Linked DNA regions of Canis lupus familiaris. The protein of the gene in region 1 interacts with the protein of each later gene in a pairwise test. Links are inferred from orthologs where the notes say so. Each region holds a gene or a part of one and is shown in the gene's direction. Other genes may lie near its edges.

The links.
Region 2: the proteins of TACC1 (region 1) and SH2D4A interact in binary tests that used the Homo sapiens proteins (3 or more experiments, as listed by UniProt). The two-hybrid records come from large-scale screens. The link is inferred for Canis lupus familiaris from reciprocal best matches to the Homo sapiens genes TACC1 and SH2D4A.
Region 3: the proteins of TACC1 (region 1) and CKAP5 interact in binary tests that used the Homo sapiens proteins (3 or more experiments, as listed by UniProt). The link is inferred for Canis lupus familiaris from reciprocal best matches to the Homo sapiens genes TACC1 and CKAP5.
Region 4: the proteins of TACC1 (region 1) and SNRPG interact in binary tests that used the Homo sapiens proteins (3 or more experiments, as listed by UniProt). The link is inferred for Canis lupus familiaris from reciprocal best matches to the Homo sapiens genes TACC1 and SNRPG.

Annotation. Positions count from the first base shown.
Region 1 is NC_049237.1:27,534,268-27,538,298, reverse strand, and holds the start of TACC1 (transforming acidic coiled-coil-containing protein 1), read left to right. Parts: upstream 1-1,225; 5' UTR 1,226-1,593; intron 1,594-4,031. UniProt on the Homo sapiens protein: Involved in transcription regulation induced by nuclear receptors, including in T3 thyroid hormone and all-trans retinoic acid pathways. Might promote the nuclear localization of the receptors.
Region 2 is NC_049237.1:22,874,071-22,878,227, forward strand, and holds the start of SH2D4A (SH2 domain-containing protein 4A), read left to right. Parts: upstream 1-1,354; 5' UTR 1,355-1,682; intron 1,683-1,692; exon of another isoform or gene 1,693-1,846; intron 1,847-1,987; coding exon of another isoform or gene 1,988-2,694; intron 2,695-4,157. Other genes in the region: collagen alpha-2(I) chain-like, read right to left, coding at 1,988-2,694. UniProt on the Homo sapiens protein: Inhibits estrogen-induced cell proliferation by competing with PLCG for binding to ESR1, blocking the effect of estrogen on PLCG and repressing estrogen-induced proliferation. May play a role in T-cell development and function.
Region 3 is NC_049239.1:43,098,499-43,102,806, forward strand, and holds the start of CKAP5 (cytoskeleton-associated protein 5), read left to right. Parts: upstream 1-1,505; 5' UTR 1,506-1,600; intron 1,601-4,308. UniProt on the Homo sapiens protein: Binds to the plus end of microtubules and regulates microtubule dynamics and microtubule organization. Acts as a processive microtubule polymerase. Promotes cytoplasmic microtubule nucleation and elongation. Plays a major role in organizing spindle poles.
Region 4 is NC_049231.1:70,135,042-70,138,996, reverse strand, and holds the start of SNRPG (small nuclear ribonucleoprotein G), read left to right. Parts: upstream 1-1,152; 5' UTR 1,153-1,204; coding exon 1,205-1,236; intron 1,237-3,955. UniProt on the Homo sapiens protein: Plays a role in pre-mRNA splicing as a core component of the spliceosomal U1, U2, U4 and U5 small nuclear ribonucleoproteins (snRNPs), the building blocks of the spliceosome.

The DNA of each region.
Region 1 (4,031 bases):
AACAATATGTGATTAATACATCAACTCAAAAATCTAAAAATTGCTACCCTCAGCCTATGTATTATTTTTATAAATGAAGGAGAGTTCTAGAACATTTGAAATTTTCTAACCTCATGAACTGGCTCCCCCCAAATTATTCTTATCTTGCTTACACTATTAATTTGTTTATTACTCCCCTTCTTTTAATAAACAGAGCAGAGGGGATGTCCTCATTTCCTGTTTGTGAGCAAATCCCCAATTAGCACTGTGAGAACTACTGAGTTTTATTGCAAGAGTCAACAAGACTCTAAAGGTTCCCAATTTGTGGTGGCATTTGACAATTCACAGATGTGCCACCCTCTGGGTGATTACCAACAGCTGAATCTTACAATGGCTTCTCACCCCAATGCACCCCCACCCACGGCCTCCAAGAATCACAACCAGCACACTTGCAGCCCCATCCCTGAGGGGCTGAGGACACGGTTTGTTATGTGCAACCAGACTCTCTTGGGAAAGGTAGCCGTGCCTGTGTCACCATCATAGAAAGACCTAGAACTAAGTGAGGGCTTTGAAGACCAGCCTTCCCGCTCTTTACCACACTCCTTGCACCCTGCACTGTGAGTGGAGATGTGAGCAGGGACAAGGCTGACCTAGACCAGAGTTTAAGGACAGTTTCACTGTAATCTTTTACCAGTTATTACTGTTGTTGTTTTTCCATTAGAAGAGAGGGGGAAAACAGTCAAGAGAAATATGGGTGTGTATAGTTCTTGAAATCCAGAGGTTCAGATGGAAAAAAAAAAAATCTATCAAAAATGTCCCTAGAACAAAGCTTGGCAAAATAAATAGCTTTTAAAAAAAAGATTTTATTAATTTATTCATGAGGGACACAGAGAGAGGTAGAGACACAGGCAGAGGGAGAAGCAGGATCCTTGCAGGGAGCCAGATGTGGGACTTGATCCCAGGACCCTGGGATCCACCCTGAGCCAAAGGCAGAGGCTCAACCACTGAGCCATCCAGGCGTCCTTTTTTCTTAAAAAAAAAAAAAAAAGAAGAAGGAAAAAAAAAGCTGAACGTTGTAACAGGAGAAATTTTCTCACAAGGAGAAGTTGTTCCTGAGCCAAGTTGAGGCAGAGGAAAAATTTTCCAGCATGTCAGGAACGAAGCTGACGTTCCATTAAGAACAAAAAAATATTTTTTTAAAAAATGTGCTAAAGGAAAGCATCAGCGGAAACCAGAGTCCAGACGGAGCTTGAAGCTGCCGACGGGGCGCGGCGGGGAGAGCCCACGGAAGGCCGGCGCTGGAGGGAGACGCGGGCCCGTCTCCCCGAGCTCCCAGCCCCCGTGGACATTTCCTGTTCTGCCTCTGGAAGTTCAAGCCAAAAATGACAAAACATCCTTTTCCCTCTGACCGAGTGCTTGGTTGGGAGACCATCCCCTTCCCAGGCCAGTGACCTCAGGGCCCGCCCTCGCCTTCCTTCCGCGGAACCCCTCCCTGAGCAGCGGCGTGGGCTCCGGGGAGCAGGGACGGAGCCGCTTCCCCGGGAGGGATGATGGAGCTGCCGTAGCAGGTGGGGCCAGAGGTGGAGAGAGACCACGGGGACCCTGGCCCCAGAGGTAGGAACCGGGCAGAGGGAGCTGGACGTTCTTGCGGTCGTTGGACAGTCACTGAGCACCAGGAGGCGCTTGCCCTTTAAGCCTTGGGCTGTGAGGGCTCTGCCCGTGGGTGCTGTGCTGGGTGCGCGCGTGTGCTGGCTGGGTGGGTGCGTGTGCTGGCTGGATGCGCGCGTGTGCTGGCTGGGTGCGTGCGTGTGCTGCCCGGTGCGTGCGTGTGCTGGCTGGGTGCGCGCGTGTGCTGCCCGGTGCGTGTGTGTGCTGCCCGGTGCGTGCGTGTGCTGGCTGGGTGGGTGCGTGTGCTGCCCGGTGCGTGTGTGTGCTGCCCGGTGCGTGCGTGTGCTGGCTGGGTGCGCGCGTGTGCTGCCCGGTGCGTGCGTGTGCTGGCTGGGTGCGCGCGTGTGCTGCCCGGTGCGTGCGTGTGCTGGCTGGGGGCGCGCATGTGCTGCCCGGTGCGTGCGTGTGCTGCTTTGTGCGTGCGTGTGCTGGCTGGGTGCGCACGTGTGCTGCCCGTTGCGTGCGTGTGCTGGCCGGGTGGGCGCGTGTGCTGGGCGGGGGGGTGGGGGGGGGCGTGTGCTGGCCGGTGGGGGGGCGCGTGTGCTGGCCGGGTGGGTGCGTGTGCTGGCCGGGTAGGCGGACTCTCAGGCAAGAAGGTCAGATGTCTTCTCTCTCCCTCTCCTTCCCAATTGAGCTTGAACTCTCCGGCTCCTGGAAGCACATGTTTTGTTTGGGTTCTGGTATGGAAAATGTCGTGGGAGGACTCTGAGAGTTCCTTGATTTCTGTTTTGTGTGTGTGTGTGTGTGTGTGTGTGTGTGTGTGTGTATTTTGTGGTGTTGTCTGAGTCCCTGGAAGTCAAGGAGCGTTCATTGTACCTTGAACTCTGGACAGATTGACAGAGAAATGAGTGAAGTGCTGCAACCAGGACCCTATGCTCTGCTGCTCCCCTTCACCCCCAAGGTGGTCACACTCTGCAGCTGTCCCTCCAGGTATGGGGATGTGGCACAGACCCCCAGGGCCCTGGAGCACCAGGGCTGTGCATTCATGGAGTTTGAGACACAGGTGACGGTGGCAGAGGTTCCCATCCACCCAGGAGGCCCTTAGCTCTGCTGGGGACGCGCTCGTCAGTCCGGGGCTGGAAGGCTAGGCTTGGTGCCATACATGCTGACATGGACGGACATCGAGAACTCCACATGGCTTCTGCACAAGGAATACTCAAAAATTTATGAAGCAGTCATAAATGAAGCACTTCTATGCCCTTCATTTGAACTCCTATGGCTTTTACATCCCTGTACCACACACAGCGCTCCTTAGCCACACACATAGTACATTGTGCTCTTCTTTAACGGGCCAGATAAATGAGAGGGTGAACTGAGCAAACTTATCAGAACCTATTAGTTGGTGATCCCAAGACAGCAGCCAACTCTTACCGAGCGCTGGCTGGGTGCCAGGCACTGTTCTAAGGGCAGTAGGTGTCATTGGCATCATCCTTATTGACAGATGAGGAAGCTGAAGCCAGAGGGACAACTAGTCCATGGCAGAAATGGGACCTGCACTGAGGTAGCCTCCGTTTTGAGTCCCAGCTGCCATGCTCTGAAACCAGGAAGAGCGGGATTTGAATCTTGGTTCCAGCATTGCCTGGCTGGGTGGCTCTAGATAAGTTATATGTCCTCATCCTCAGTTTTCTCATCTGTAAAATGGGATAGCAATAACCCCACCTCACAGAGGTATTGTGAGAGGTAAATTAGTTGTAAGAGACTATTTTATTGAAGGAAATGAACAATACAAGCAAGCTCTCCCCAGTCCCTGTAGTGTGTGGTATAAATGTAGAAGGATCTCATGCAACTGAAAGCCTCAAGGTTCTGCAGGAGCTAGCAAGAGTGCTGTACCCTCCACGAGGGACATTGGAGTTTCCTTGGCAGCCAGTGCAGGACTGCAGTTGCCAGCTCCCTGGACTCCAAACTCCCTAAGGGCAGGGCTCATGTAGTATGTATCTTTGTTTCTCTTAAAAAAAAAAAAATGGTTCTCAAACTGTGGCCTGAAGACACTGTTGCTTTTCAGAAGGGACACAGGGTCTTTTTGGGAAGGAGTTCAACCAGGAGCCTATGAGTGTTCCAGGAGCCTCCTCCTCCCACTTCCAACAAAGCAGCTCTACCTTTACTGACTCGTATGTTGGGGTGCCCAGTTGGAAGAAAGTTTTGAAAATAATTTTCAACACCTGCTAACCCGGAACAAGAAATGCATCTGGGCTGAAAGTGACCGCTTATGGAGTGGAGTTGATTCACAGAAGGATTCTTAGCTTCCCTGTCTACGCTCTCACGCGGCCCTCCCACCACCTCCTACTTAGTGATCATCTCCTGCTACGGGGTGCCCAGGGGGGCTGTGGGCCATCTCAGGCAGCCTGCCCTCCTCCCGCACAGGGACTGGCAAGGGGCAGAGCAGC
Region 2 (4,157 bases), about 4.7 Mb from region 1:
TGCTTGTCCTGTTTTTCATCTCAAAAGGCCCAGGGATTTGGACCAGTCTTGTGTTTTCCACTTTTTTCCACTGTGTGGCACTGAGTACATTTAAAAAAAAAAAAAAAAAAGAAGATTTTATTTATTTATTTGAGAGAGAGAGCACAAGCAGAGGGAGCGGCAGGCAGAGAGAGAGAGAGAAGCAGACTCCTCACTGAGCAGGGAGCTCCATGTGTGGCTGGATCCCAGAACCCTGATCACCACTGAGTGGAAGGCGCACATTTAACCGACTGAGCCACCCAGGTGCCCCCACATTTTTAAATAAAGATCTTCTTGCCTGCTTCAGCATCTCCCATCTTGTTCACAGGGTTAGCGGCTCTGCCCACTGCTTGCATGGAGAACACTTAGCAGTCACCCAGGCTGCTGGTGGGCCAGAAAGTGCACTACAAATTTGAGGCTGGTGTTCTCACAGTCGTGCCTCAAAGACCAGTGCTGGATGCCCAGCCAGGCATGTGCTCACGTCTTTTACAACCTAATCTCAGAAGTGACATACTGAGGAGGTGGGGATGGATCACTGAGGTTAACATGGAGTCTAGGTACCACACAAGGCAAAATCCAAGGTCTGAGTATGAAGTTATAACTTGAAACTGCAGTATGTGATGTGAAATAGTATAAGCTAATGTATTTGTACATTCACCAGTCCACGAACTATTCTAAGCACATTACATATATCATCTCATTTAACCTTCACAACAACTTCATGAGGTAGGCGTTGTTATTATCCAGAAGGGAAAACCGAAGTACAGACAGGTTAGTGGCCAAGTGGGAGTACTCTTATAAAGAAAGACTTATCAGCACATGAACTTGAGCGTCGGGGAAGGTCATCCGCTGCAACCAGTGTCCGTTGTAGGAAAATTTTACTGACTGATGAACCACCTGTTAGTTCTTCAACTGCTGGATCCATGAAATGGGAGGATTCATTTTCAGCTGGCCACAGCCGCTACCCAGGGGCAAGAGACAATCCAGCCAAATGCAGTCACAGGCCATTCATTTAATAAGCAGTGGGAACCAAAAGTAAACCAGAAATTCTCCCCTGATGCGATCCCTAGAATGGTTCCTAAATAGGTTCTCAAGGACTTCTCTCTGCCCCCAAGGCTCTTTCTAACTTTGAGTAACTTCTGAGGTCTAGAGAAGTTAGGAAGAAGAAAGTTTCACTTTTGAAGGAAGCCAATCAGACCCCTGAATGTATCAGGTGGGCTGTGGAGAGGACTAGAGAAGGCTCAGTGTTCTTGACTCCTCCCCACCATGCGCAGGGTGGGGTTCCCCAGAGCAGGCTATTTCTCCGCGCACATTCCCAACGCTCCTGCACAATGGAAAACGCCCTGCAACGTTTCTACTCGCTTCTGCCCAACTTTCCTGTACTCCGTCAGCTCCTCCCTTCCGGCACCACCCCAACCTGTTCTTGCTGCTATTCACAAGATTCCTTTACCTTCTTTCCTTTCTCCAGAGTTCTTTCATTTTTCCCTCCGTGTCTGTTGTTTGCAGCCTGCATCTTTCCAGCCTTTCGCCTCCTTGATTCTGCCCTACAAAGCTTTGTGGCCTGTGCTGACAAGTGCCCGAGTGTCTGATAAATGACTTTAATGTCAACAAACGGGGGCGGGGCGGGTAGAGTAAGCTCCGGGAGTCGGGAGGCGACCCGGGAGGTGAGCTGACTCGGCCTGCTGGGGCTGTCCGTGTGACCGAGGCCTCCCGCCTCCGCAGGCCCGGGCTTGCAGGAGCCCTTGAGCCCCGCGGCGGAGCAGGCCCGGGCCGCTGACACCACTGCGTCCCGCGGCCGAGAGGGCGCGGCGGCCTCGGCGGGCTGCAGGTGGGGGGCGGCGGCCTGGCCCCCACACGCGGCAGCTCGGGGCCGGGTGCCCGGGCTGGGGGGTCCCCTGGGGCAGCAGGCCGCGCCGACGCCTGGGCCTGGAGCGCGTCCAGGGGCCCGGGTGGGGCCGCGAGCACCCAGTCAGCCGCTGGGGCACGCGGGCCGCGGGTGGGGCAGCGCGGGCGGGCGGGCGCGCAGGGACACTGTTTGCACAAGCGAGGCCGAGGGTTTGAGCCGCCTTCCCTCCGTCTCGGCCCCGCTGGACGCCGCGTGGCCCGGGGCCACCTGCTGGGGAGCGCGGGCCCCGCCCGGTAGGTGCGGGGGGCGGCGGGGCCAGGGGGCAGAACGCGGGACCGTGCGGGTGGGGGCGCGGGAGGCGCCGGCCCCAGGGGGAAGGCGAGCACTTCTGGGGCACCGGGAGGGGCGCGGGCGCGTCACCAAGCCCAGGCGGCCGGCGGGGGTGGGCGAGCCGGGAGCGCCGGAGCACCCGCGGGGCCTGTGCCTGCCGTGGGTCCGGGCCTCCTCCGCGGCCCGGCACCGCGCTCCCGCCCCCGCCGACGAGCGCCCGCGCCCGCGCCCGCGCGGAACTCCGCCGCCCAGACCTTCCGGGACCGCGGGGCAGCCGGCTCCCCGGGGCCCGCCCGCAGGACGGCAGCCCAGCCTCGGTCCTCCCAGTCGGGTGGGCGCCCTGCCCGCCCCTGCCCGCTCTGGCCCTCGGGTTCGCGGGGGCACCGAGAGCCGCGCGCGCAGGTGCCAGTTTATAGGCTTCCTTAACGGTATCGTTCCCTTCCCAGGGCGCAGGGCGCAGGAGCAAGGGCACCTCTCTCTAATCTTAGTCTCCTCACCTCCTAAAAGGGTTTTTTGTTTGTTTGTTTAAGTAAACACGAGCACCCGCCTGAACTCAGAACAGGGAAATCAAGATTGCGCATGCCCTACCCGCAGAGCCAGCCAGGCCCCCGCCTGAGAGGCTTCGGATTGCGGACGGAATACTAACGACTTGGAGCTTTAGAAAGTGAATAAACACGTGGAAGTCCTATGCAGGCGTAGATTTGGCCCATGAGTGCAATTTCCTAGATAAATCTGTACAGTCGTTTCACATTTCTGAAGAATGGCACATATGTACAAAACTTACCAAATTGCTATCACCTCTGGTAAATCATTTTATCCTCAAAAATAGCCCTTTTGGGGCACCTGGGTGGCTCAGTGGTTGAGTCGGCCTTGGACTTAGGTCCTGATCCCCAATGAGTCCCTCATCCGGCTCCCCACAGGAAGCCTGCTTCTCCCTCTGCCTACGTGTCTCTCTCTCTGTCTCTGTCTCTCATGAATAAACAAATAAAATCTTTAGAAAAAAAATAGCCCTTTTGCAGATAAACTCTATTAAGTGAAGTTGAATAAGATAAATGAAAATCTGAAAATAGCCAGCCATTTTAAAAGAAGTACAATTCAAACTATATTCAAACTATATTCATTTTCTTAAAAGATTGTATTTATTTATTATTTATTTATTTATTTGAGAGCGAGAGAGGCAGTAGGGGGAGGAAAGGGGGGACAGGGACAGACTCCATGGTCAGTGCCAAGCCAAAGGCAGGACTCAATCCCACTACCCTGAGATCCTGACTTGAGCCAAACCAAGAATGGGATGTTTAACTGACTGAACCACACAGGTGCTCTAAATTATATTCTTACCATTAAAGTTTTACTGTCCATATTACATTACTGCTATAATTTAGGCTTTATCTACCTGCCCCCCCCCCCCAAGGTCTTAGAATCATGAGAAACACAATTTTTATTTTGTCGAACAGGGCTATGGATGATGTGAGAGTCAGGCCAAATGTATGTTATCCTGGAAAACAACTGATCCTATCACCCTTTAGAAATTTAGTTTTGGAATAAATAGCAGATTTGGGCTTGTTGCTTGTCATTTCCTTTTTTAAGTAAAGTGCTATATGAGAAGAAAACTGAGTTAGCTTAGCTTTTCTTTTTATTGGATCTTGAATAACTGGAAGTTTGCTGCTCTCAAGTGTGTTAGATGAGGAAAGTCATTCAAAGTTTGAATCAGTGTCAGTGGTTGTCCTTTCAGGGACTGAAAGTGGGAAAAACCCTGGTTAGTTTCCTCATTCCTGTTTCCTCTACCCTACCTCCACTTGTGTCTGTAACTTCACATAGACTATGACATAGTCTTCACATTACAAAGATGTATGGTGCAGTTCCTCATTTCACGAATGGGAAAACAAAGTAGTGAAATGACAGCTGAAGGGCACACAGCTCTTCAGAAGCTCATGCTGGGGTCCTTGCTAGGTGTTCTGTGATC
Region 3 (4,308 bases), on another chromosome or scaffold:
CTTAGTATTCAAGACCCTCCTAGAATCTGCCTTTCTCTGTCAGTTTTGTATCCTACTACTTCCCAACATGAACCCCTTTTAAAAATCAAACTCACATGTTCAATTCCCTACATATAATTGTACTTTGTTTCTGTGCCCTTACTCTTACTTTTCCCACTGCTAGATATTCTCCCTGCTACATATATATATATATATATATATATATATATATATATATATATATTTAAATTAACATGTCAAAGGCAAAAAAATTCATTTCCCTATCTACTCTCCTTGCTAAATAATTTCTTGAAATTCCAGCAATGTTCTAACCATTTTCAGGCATGCACACAAAATACATATGCATTTATAACCATATACAATAAAATCATTCCATATATGCTTTTCTGCAACTTGCCTTTTTTCAATTAAATAAAATTTGTGCATTTTTCTACACCAGCACGTACAGAATAAACAGATTCTTTTTAACAGTTACATAGTGTTCTATTGAGTGGATATACTGTAATTTATGTAACAAGTTCTCTATGAATGGACATTGTAATTTCTAGGGTTTGGGTTTTTTTGTTTGTGGGGTGTTTTTTCTCCCATATCTTAAGAATTGCTGAGTGAATATCTTTCGACATTTTTCTTTGCATACGTGCATAGATCTGTAGGACAGGTTCTTAACAGTGGCATTATTGGGCTAGAGATTATCACATTTTACTTCTTTTTTTTTTTAAGATTTTATTTTTATGTAATCTCTACACCCAACCTGGGGCTGGAACATACAACCCTGAGATCAAGAGTTGCAAGTTCCATCTTCTGAGTCTACCAGGCGCCAGCACCACCACCCTTTCTTAAAGATTTTATTTTTAGAGCTAAACAAGACTTTCAGAAATCACATTAACCAAGCCTATCATTTCTAAGAGAAACAGGAATATTAGTTAGGCTTTTGCAGAACACTTACTGTTCAAAGGCCTTTCCTAGACAGCCAATTGGTTATATTAAATCCTCACCCTAGGCTTGTAAGAGAAACATTGTCATCCTATTTTGAGGAAACTGAGCTACAAATAATTTACTGGGAAAGTGGTCTGCTTAGAGCGGGTCCAAGACCAGAATCCAGCATCCTGGCTCCATTCACTGCTCCTTCCACGATATCCCAGCTGCCTCTCGTTCCCCTCGCGTACTTAGCTACACAATCGGTATTTGGTGAATGAAATGACTTTTTAAAAAATTGCCAGGTGTTGACAGTAGCTCGAATGGCCAAAATTTAAAAAAAGCAAGCATGCTGATGGCCGGGGATGCACAGCTCTCCACACAGCTTTCGCCCTTCTCTCGGGGAGGGGGGGGTAGGGGGGTGCAGGGTCGTCGGCAGCTTTCGCTCTAGCGACCCCACATCCCCACCCCACCAGGCAGCGCCGGTTCCGAAGGAAACACGGCTGCGCGCGGCCCCTTTAAAGCTGCGGGCGGCGCGTGCCCACAGGCCTTTCAAACGGACCAATAAGCGGGCGATGGGCGGTCCGTCGGGAACCAATAAACGACGAGGACACTGCGGGGTGTGCGGCGGCCCAAGCGGTTTCAAACGGCTTAGAGCAGGCCCCTCGGTTCTGACCCGGCGGAGGTGAGTGGCCGGTGGGCCCGACCCACCCACCCAGGCCCTCGGGTCCGGGCGTCGCGCGCGCCGAGGGGTGTTGAGCCCCGGGCGGGGGAGCCTCCGCGGACGCGCCCCTCCCTCGCCGCACGAACCCGGCGGATCTGAGGCGGCGAAGCGGGGCGGAGGCCGGCGGACCCGCGGCTGGGAGGGCGGGGGCGTGGGCGCTCGCGTGCAGCCGAGGCCGGCATCCGGGGACCCGAGCGCGCCGCGGCGGGGTGGCGGCGGCGGCGGCGGCGGCGGCGGCGGGGGAATGCGGGCGGTGCAGGGCCGCGCCTGGCGGCTGTGGGTGTTCCGGGGCTGGGGCGGGCGGGGGCCCTGCGAGCCGGCCCTGCTACGGTGCCCCTCGCGTAATTGTCAAATGAATGAATGAGTGAATAAGAACCCAGGAGGGCTGTCGCGGCGGTGAAGGGCCGGGTCGTCTCGGAGCGTGACAAGGACTGCGGTGCCGGGGCCTGCCCGCGCACCTGTGTCCCCGCCGGCCGGCTGCGGTTTTAACAATTCCGATCAGACCGCGCCGCCCTCGCGCCTGGCTTCCTCTCTCAGAAGGTGTCAGTAGTTCAGGTGTCTTTCCAGCTCTGGAGGTTTGGAGGACCTATACAATAGCCACCAGCGTAGGTTATCTTAACTAAGTAGGCCCTGCTACTTTATGATTCGGTAAACTCGGTTTTTACTTTTTCAGCCCTTACCACTATTAGGCGGTTGAGTTAGCTACCCTGCAGTCCTGGTAACTGTCGGGATTTAAACGCATCCCGTTCTGTTGCTGGGATAGAAAAATGCTGAAAGCGATGTTGCCCGAGTGGCTTACTGTGTGTTAGAAAACATATTCGTTTTGATGAATCCTAACAATGAGTGTTTCATTCAGCATCAATAGAGGGTAAAGTGGGTTGTTCTTTTTTTTTTTTTTTTTTTTGCAGAACTTGCCCCAAATTTTATGCTTGGCTCTAAATCTCACGGGGAACTAAGGCATCAGATCTTGGCCCAGAAATGCTGCCTGTCTTATTTTATGCATAATTATAGTAATTGAAAACTCATTTTTAGAGAGGTGAACTTCTGTCTCCATTTTCATCACCCTGAAAAGTCCTTCTTTGACCTAAAGAGCCGATATATTAAGCTAACAATCTTTGGAAATTTATTAAGTCTAAAAAAGATTTGGGCCTTTCATAAGTGACTGAACAGACTCTCATGTTGTTTTCATAAAATTTAATGATACAGAGGAGGTGAGATCAATTTATTTTGCCATAAATAATGGCATAAATTAAACTTAGTCAACTTGTGAGAAGAAAATTTTACACAAGTTTTCCAAGTCTGTTCACTGGAGAGCAGTCAGAGGTAAGCAGGGTATTCCATAACAATTCATATACCTTCTTTATTACTTTTAACGTTTTGATCATCAGCTTTGAATTATGAACAGTAGTGTGGCCTACAACTGACAGCTCAATTTTAGCAGCAGAGCTTTTTAATTGCAATAAATTTGAGTACCTTAATATTACGAACAGTGTTCTAGATTTCGAAGAGGCAATTAGAAATAATAAATACATCTCTAACGAGGCCTTAGGATATTGTTTAAAATCTTGATGTGGAATGAAAACTTTATTTTGAAGTAAAGCCAGGCTCTCTTATGCTCCTTTGACTTAATGGAGTCTCATTCATCTCATTCATTGATTCATTCAACACATACTGAGATTGATGCCTACTGTGTGTTAAACACTGTTCTGGATTCTGGGAATACACCAGTGAACCAGAAAAAGACAAAGCTTCTGACCTAAGGGAGTTTGACAGTTTTATCTCTCAAACAATTTGCTGTAGCAAATTGTATTTTCTATAATCCCTCTGGCCCAGCTCTGGTCCTTGAACAAAATACTCAAATACTTTTATTAGCAGTAGCTAACATTTATTGAATTGTTACTGGGTGCCACATTTTATCTCTTTTAATCCTCACAGTTTTTTATAGATGAGGAAACTCAGAAAGGTTATGCAACTTGTTCAAGATCATGCAACTGATAGAATCTGAATTTGAACCCAAGTTAGTCTTTCTCCAGGGCCTTTGCTTTTGACCTATGGTTGTACTACATGAAGTAATGAGATACATTAGGGAGAATTCAGGAGCAATTTCTGGGTAGAATACCCTCCCCTCTCCTTTTTAAAATATTTTATTTTATTTATTTATTTATTTACTTATTTATTTACTCTTTATAAAAGATTTTGTGTATTTATACACAGAGGGCACAGGTAGGCAGAATGGCAGGCAGAGGGAAAGGGAGAGGCAGGCTCCCTGCTCTCCTGATGTGGGGCTTGATCCCAGGATCATGACCTTGAGCTGAAAGCAGACTCTTAACTGACTGAGCCATGTAGGGGCCCCAAAGAATCTCAAGCAGACTCCACAATGAATGCAGAGCCTGTTGCCGGGCTTGATCTCAGAACCCGAAACCAAGAGTTGGAGACTTAACCAATTGAGCCATCCCAGGCGCCTCCCCCGCACACCAGCTTTTTTAATACTTTTAGCAGAGCCATGAAAAAATATGAATGATAGGACATGGTGGTATTTGGAAGGAAGATGGAGTGGTTCAAAATACAGTAGTTACTGGACTGCTGTGACTTTGGGGGAGACTCTGGGGGAGCCTAAAATTGAGATCTTAATCTACTTACCATTGATGGACTCCTGATGGGCAGTGTTA
Region 4 (3,955 bases), on another chromosome or scaffold:
AAGGTCAAAGGAGAAAAAGTAGGCAACTCAAGGGTGGGCTGTGATCCCTTTAAAGCAGAAGAGGGGCAACCCCCCACCCCATTACCAAATGCCACCCTTGCCCCAGGACCTTTGCAGCAAGCCGTGTTCCTGCCCCAGCTCTAGCACCTTTTCATTTTGATAAAGACCTTACTGTCTTTTTACCAACTTAGTACTTGAAATGATGATATAGCCTGCGTTGGGTGTCTCAAGTCTGTGATCTATTTTCCTAGTGGTTCAGTTTTAAAAAATAAATAAGGTTTAGTTTTTTCCTCCACTACGGCGTCTCTCGTATGCGAGCAGTGAATCTACAACTTTCTTAGGATGCTTCTCTTTGTAATGTGTAAAATAAGTGTCTGAAGACGTCGTGAAGAGTAAAAACTCGCTGTGATTCAGACGCGGGACTGGTTCATTGTAAATGGGGGAAAACAGGACAAGCTAAGGCCCTGGGACTCGGAGTCCATTAATGTAAAAATAACCGTGGGAAGGCTAAACCATCCATTTCGGGACCGTAGCTGCTTGTAAGCAGCGAGAGGTGGGAAGTTGGGCAAATGCCACCTGTAGGATTTTGAGTGCTAGAATGAGGCTCAGTCTTTTATTCGTATTTAAATAGAGCCATTCCTGGACATTAGGGAGGAACTGAATTTTGGAGAATCATCCTCTACTCAGAATCACCGAGGCCTAAGTCTTTTTTTTTTTTTTTTTTTTTTTTAAGATTTTATTTATTAACGAGAGACACAGGCAGAAGGGAGGAGCAGAGCGCCCGATGCGGGGGCACCGCAGGCTGATCGACCTTGGCAGGACCAGAGCCCAGCCCTCCCGAGCGCGTGCGCACTGGGCACGTGCGAGGACGCTAACCCGCGCAGGTCGCAAAGCGAGGGATCCGCCAGCTGCGCCGACGACTTAGAGACCCAGCCCTTACGTCAGTTTCACCAATCAGGAAACGGAATTGAGGAGGCGACCGGAAGTCCCACCCCATGTAGCCCCATGCAGGCCAATCGCTGGCAACGCAACCGGAAACTCGCGGGCGTTCGGCAAGTCCGGGGGCGCCCTCAAAGTATCGCGGGAGGGAATGTGACCTCTGCCGGCGTTTGATTGGCGGCGGGGGCCGGTGACGTCAGGCGCCAAGCGGCGGGAGCGTGAGGGAGCCGTGTGGAGGCCTCTGCGAGCTCGCCGAGTCGGCGCCATGAGCAAGGCTCACCCTCCCGAGCTGAAAAAGTGAGTACGCGGGAGGGCCGCGTGCGGGTGGCGGCGTCCGTGCGCCGGGGCCCCGCTCGGGGGGCGGCAGAGCGGCTCCGCGGGGCGCGAGGACGGGGCGGGGCGGCGGTTTCCTTGAGCTCTGTTCTCGGAATCTCCCTCCGGGGCGCCCGGGGGCCCAGCGGGGTTAGCGCCGCCCGCGGCCCAGGGCGTGACCCGGGGTCACGGGTTCGAGGCCCGCGTCGGGCTCCCTGCGTGGAGCCTGCTCCTCCCTCCGCCCGGGTCTCTGCGCCTCTCTCTCTCTCTCTGTGTCTCTCTGTCTCTCTCTCTCTCTCTGGGTCTCTCATGAATAGATGAAAATTTAAAAAAAATAAATTTTTTTTTGATCTTGTGCAGAAGTTAAGACTTGGATGTCACGTGATCTGTTAACAGCGCTGTGGGGGAACGTTCATTTTTTTCTTTTTTTTTAATCCAAGAAAAGTAAGTTTTTTTCTTTTTTCCTGCATCCAGTAAAAATCCCCTCAAAACCGGATGTTCCTACTTGCGTGGGCCCGGGCTCGGGGACGCTGGGCCGAGCGTGTGCAGGGCCTCCCGAGTGCCTCCGTCTCGTGTCCGCCGCGCAGTCCCAGGATTTCTGCACGTGGTAGCGCAGAACAGGAGAACGGGACCCGGGGGTCGCTTTGTGAAACAGCCGTCCGCCCTGTGCGTGGGTCACGTCCTGCCAGCCTCGTGGAGGAGTCAGACTGCAAGAAAAAGCCGTATTTAGTAATTGTGCTTTTTTTTTTTTTTTTTAAGATTTTTTTTATTATTTATTTGAGACACAGGCAGAGGGAGAAGCGGGCTCCATGCAGGGAGCCCGACGCAGGACTCGATCCCAGAACCTTGGGGTCACGACCTGAGCCAAAGGCAGCCGCACAACCGCTGAGCCCCACCCCCCCCCACCCCCGGGCTGCCCAGGAAATTGTGCATTTAGGGGCGCCTTGGTGGTCAGTCGGTTAAGGGTCCCACTCTTGGTTTCAGCCCAGATCCTGATCTGCTGGTGAGATCAGCCCCGGTGGGCTCTGGGCTCAGCGTGGAGTCGGCTTGGTGTGTCTCCTCCTTCTCTGCCCCCTCCCCACTGCTCGCCTGCTCGCTCGCACGCGCACTCTCTCTCTCTCTCTGGTTCTCGCTCTCAAGTAAATCTTTTAAAGAAAAAAAATAGTTTTACATTGAAATGCATATTTGTATCAAAGCCATTTTTTGTGCAAGAACTCCGTGTATTTTAGCTGGGTCTGTTGAAGTGTTCATCGTGAGCCCGACGTTAAGAAAAATACAACTTATTTTGGAGTTCTGTCTAAAACTCTCTTTCCTTGACGACTTGGCAAAACCTTAGAAGTATTCTCTGGGTTCTTCACGAACTGGTGAGATGCTAATTATTTTTAGCAAAAGAACCATCCTCTACTTGTAATCTTAGATTACCTTTTTCATTTCTTAACAGGTGCTTTTGTTTCTTAACAGATATTTGAGAATTTCACAGGATGAAACTGGTTTTAATAATTTCTCTCATCTCTCGATCTCATGTACTTTGAGACCATCCTCCAAAATGACCTTCAATTTTTTTTCTCTTTTATTTCTTCACAGATATTTTCTACTCTTTTATGCCCTCCTCCTGGTTTAGCTTAATTCAGTGGTTCTTAACTGTGGGGTAGGGAGCCTGTTTCTACTGGCAGGCCGCTAGTGAGTAGAAGCTAGAGATGCTGCTGAACATTGTACAACGCGCTGGACATCACTCAACAGAGTTACCTGGCCCCAGATGTTACTAGGCCGGGGTGGAGATACTGAGACCTAACCAAATTCTCCATCCCACTTCCTAAAAATCACTGCCATGGTGGTATTGCCAATGACTGGACTCTGCTTTAATAATTTATGACTATCTGAACAGTAAAGTGTAGACTTGTTGGCACGGCGTTCAGGCTCTTCCATCTGAAATGCAAGGTGCCAAATATGACACACACTAGTGTGGAGTATCCCATTCTACAGCCAAAATGAACCATTTGCATTTGCTCAAACTTTCTTACTATGTGACTTTAGAAAATCTTTCTGACCCTTGGTTCCTCATCTGTAAAATAGTGATAATAACAAGATCTCACTTAGGGCTAAATAAGTTCATATGTGTTCTATTTGCTGTCTTTTATATATATCCTATTAAATTATTTTATATATACTACAACGTATTTTGGGGTGTTTTTTTTTTAAGGTTTCATTTATTAGAGAGCATGTGAGGGGAGGAACAGAGGGAGAGGGACAAGCAGACTCTGCACTGAGCATGGAGCCCTACTTGAGGCTCCATCTCACAACCCAAGATCATGACCTAAGCCAAAACTCAGGTGCTCAAAGGAGGCGCCACCCAGGTGCCCCAGGCCTGTGTCTTAACTTACCTTTGAATTCTCTCATACATTAAAATTGCATGAAATTTCAGGGGTGCTTGAATGGCTCGGTTGGTTAGGTGTCCAACTCTTGGTGTCAGCTCAGATCATGATCTCATGGGTGGTGAGATGGAGCCCCCTGTGGGTCTCCACGCTCATCAAGGAGTCTGCTTGATAGTCTCTCTCTTTGCCCCTACCCCACTTTTGCAAGTGCTCTCTCAAATTTTTTTTAAAGATTTTTGTTTATTTATTTGAGAGAACATGAGCAGGGAGAGGGGTAGAGGGAGAAGCAGACTCCCTACTGAGCAGGGAGCCCTTTGTGAGACTCAATCCCA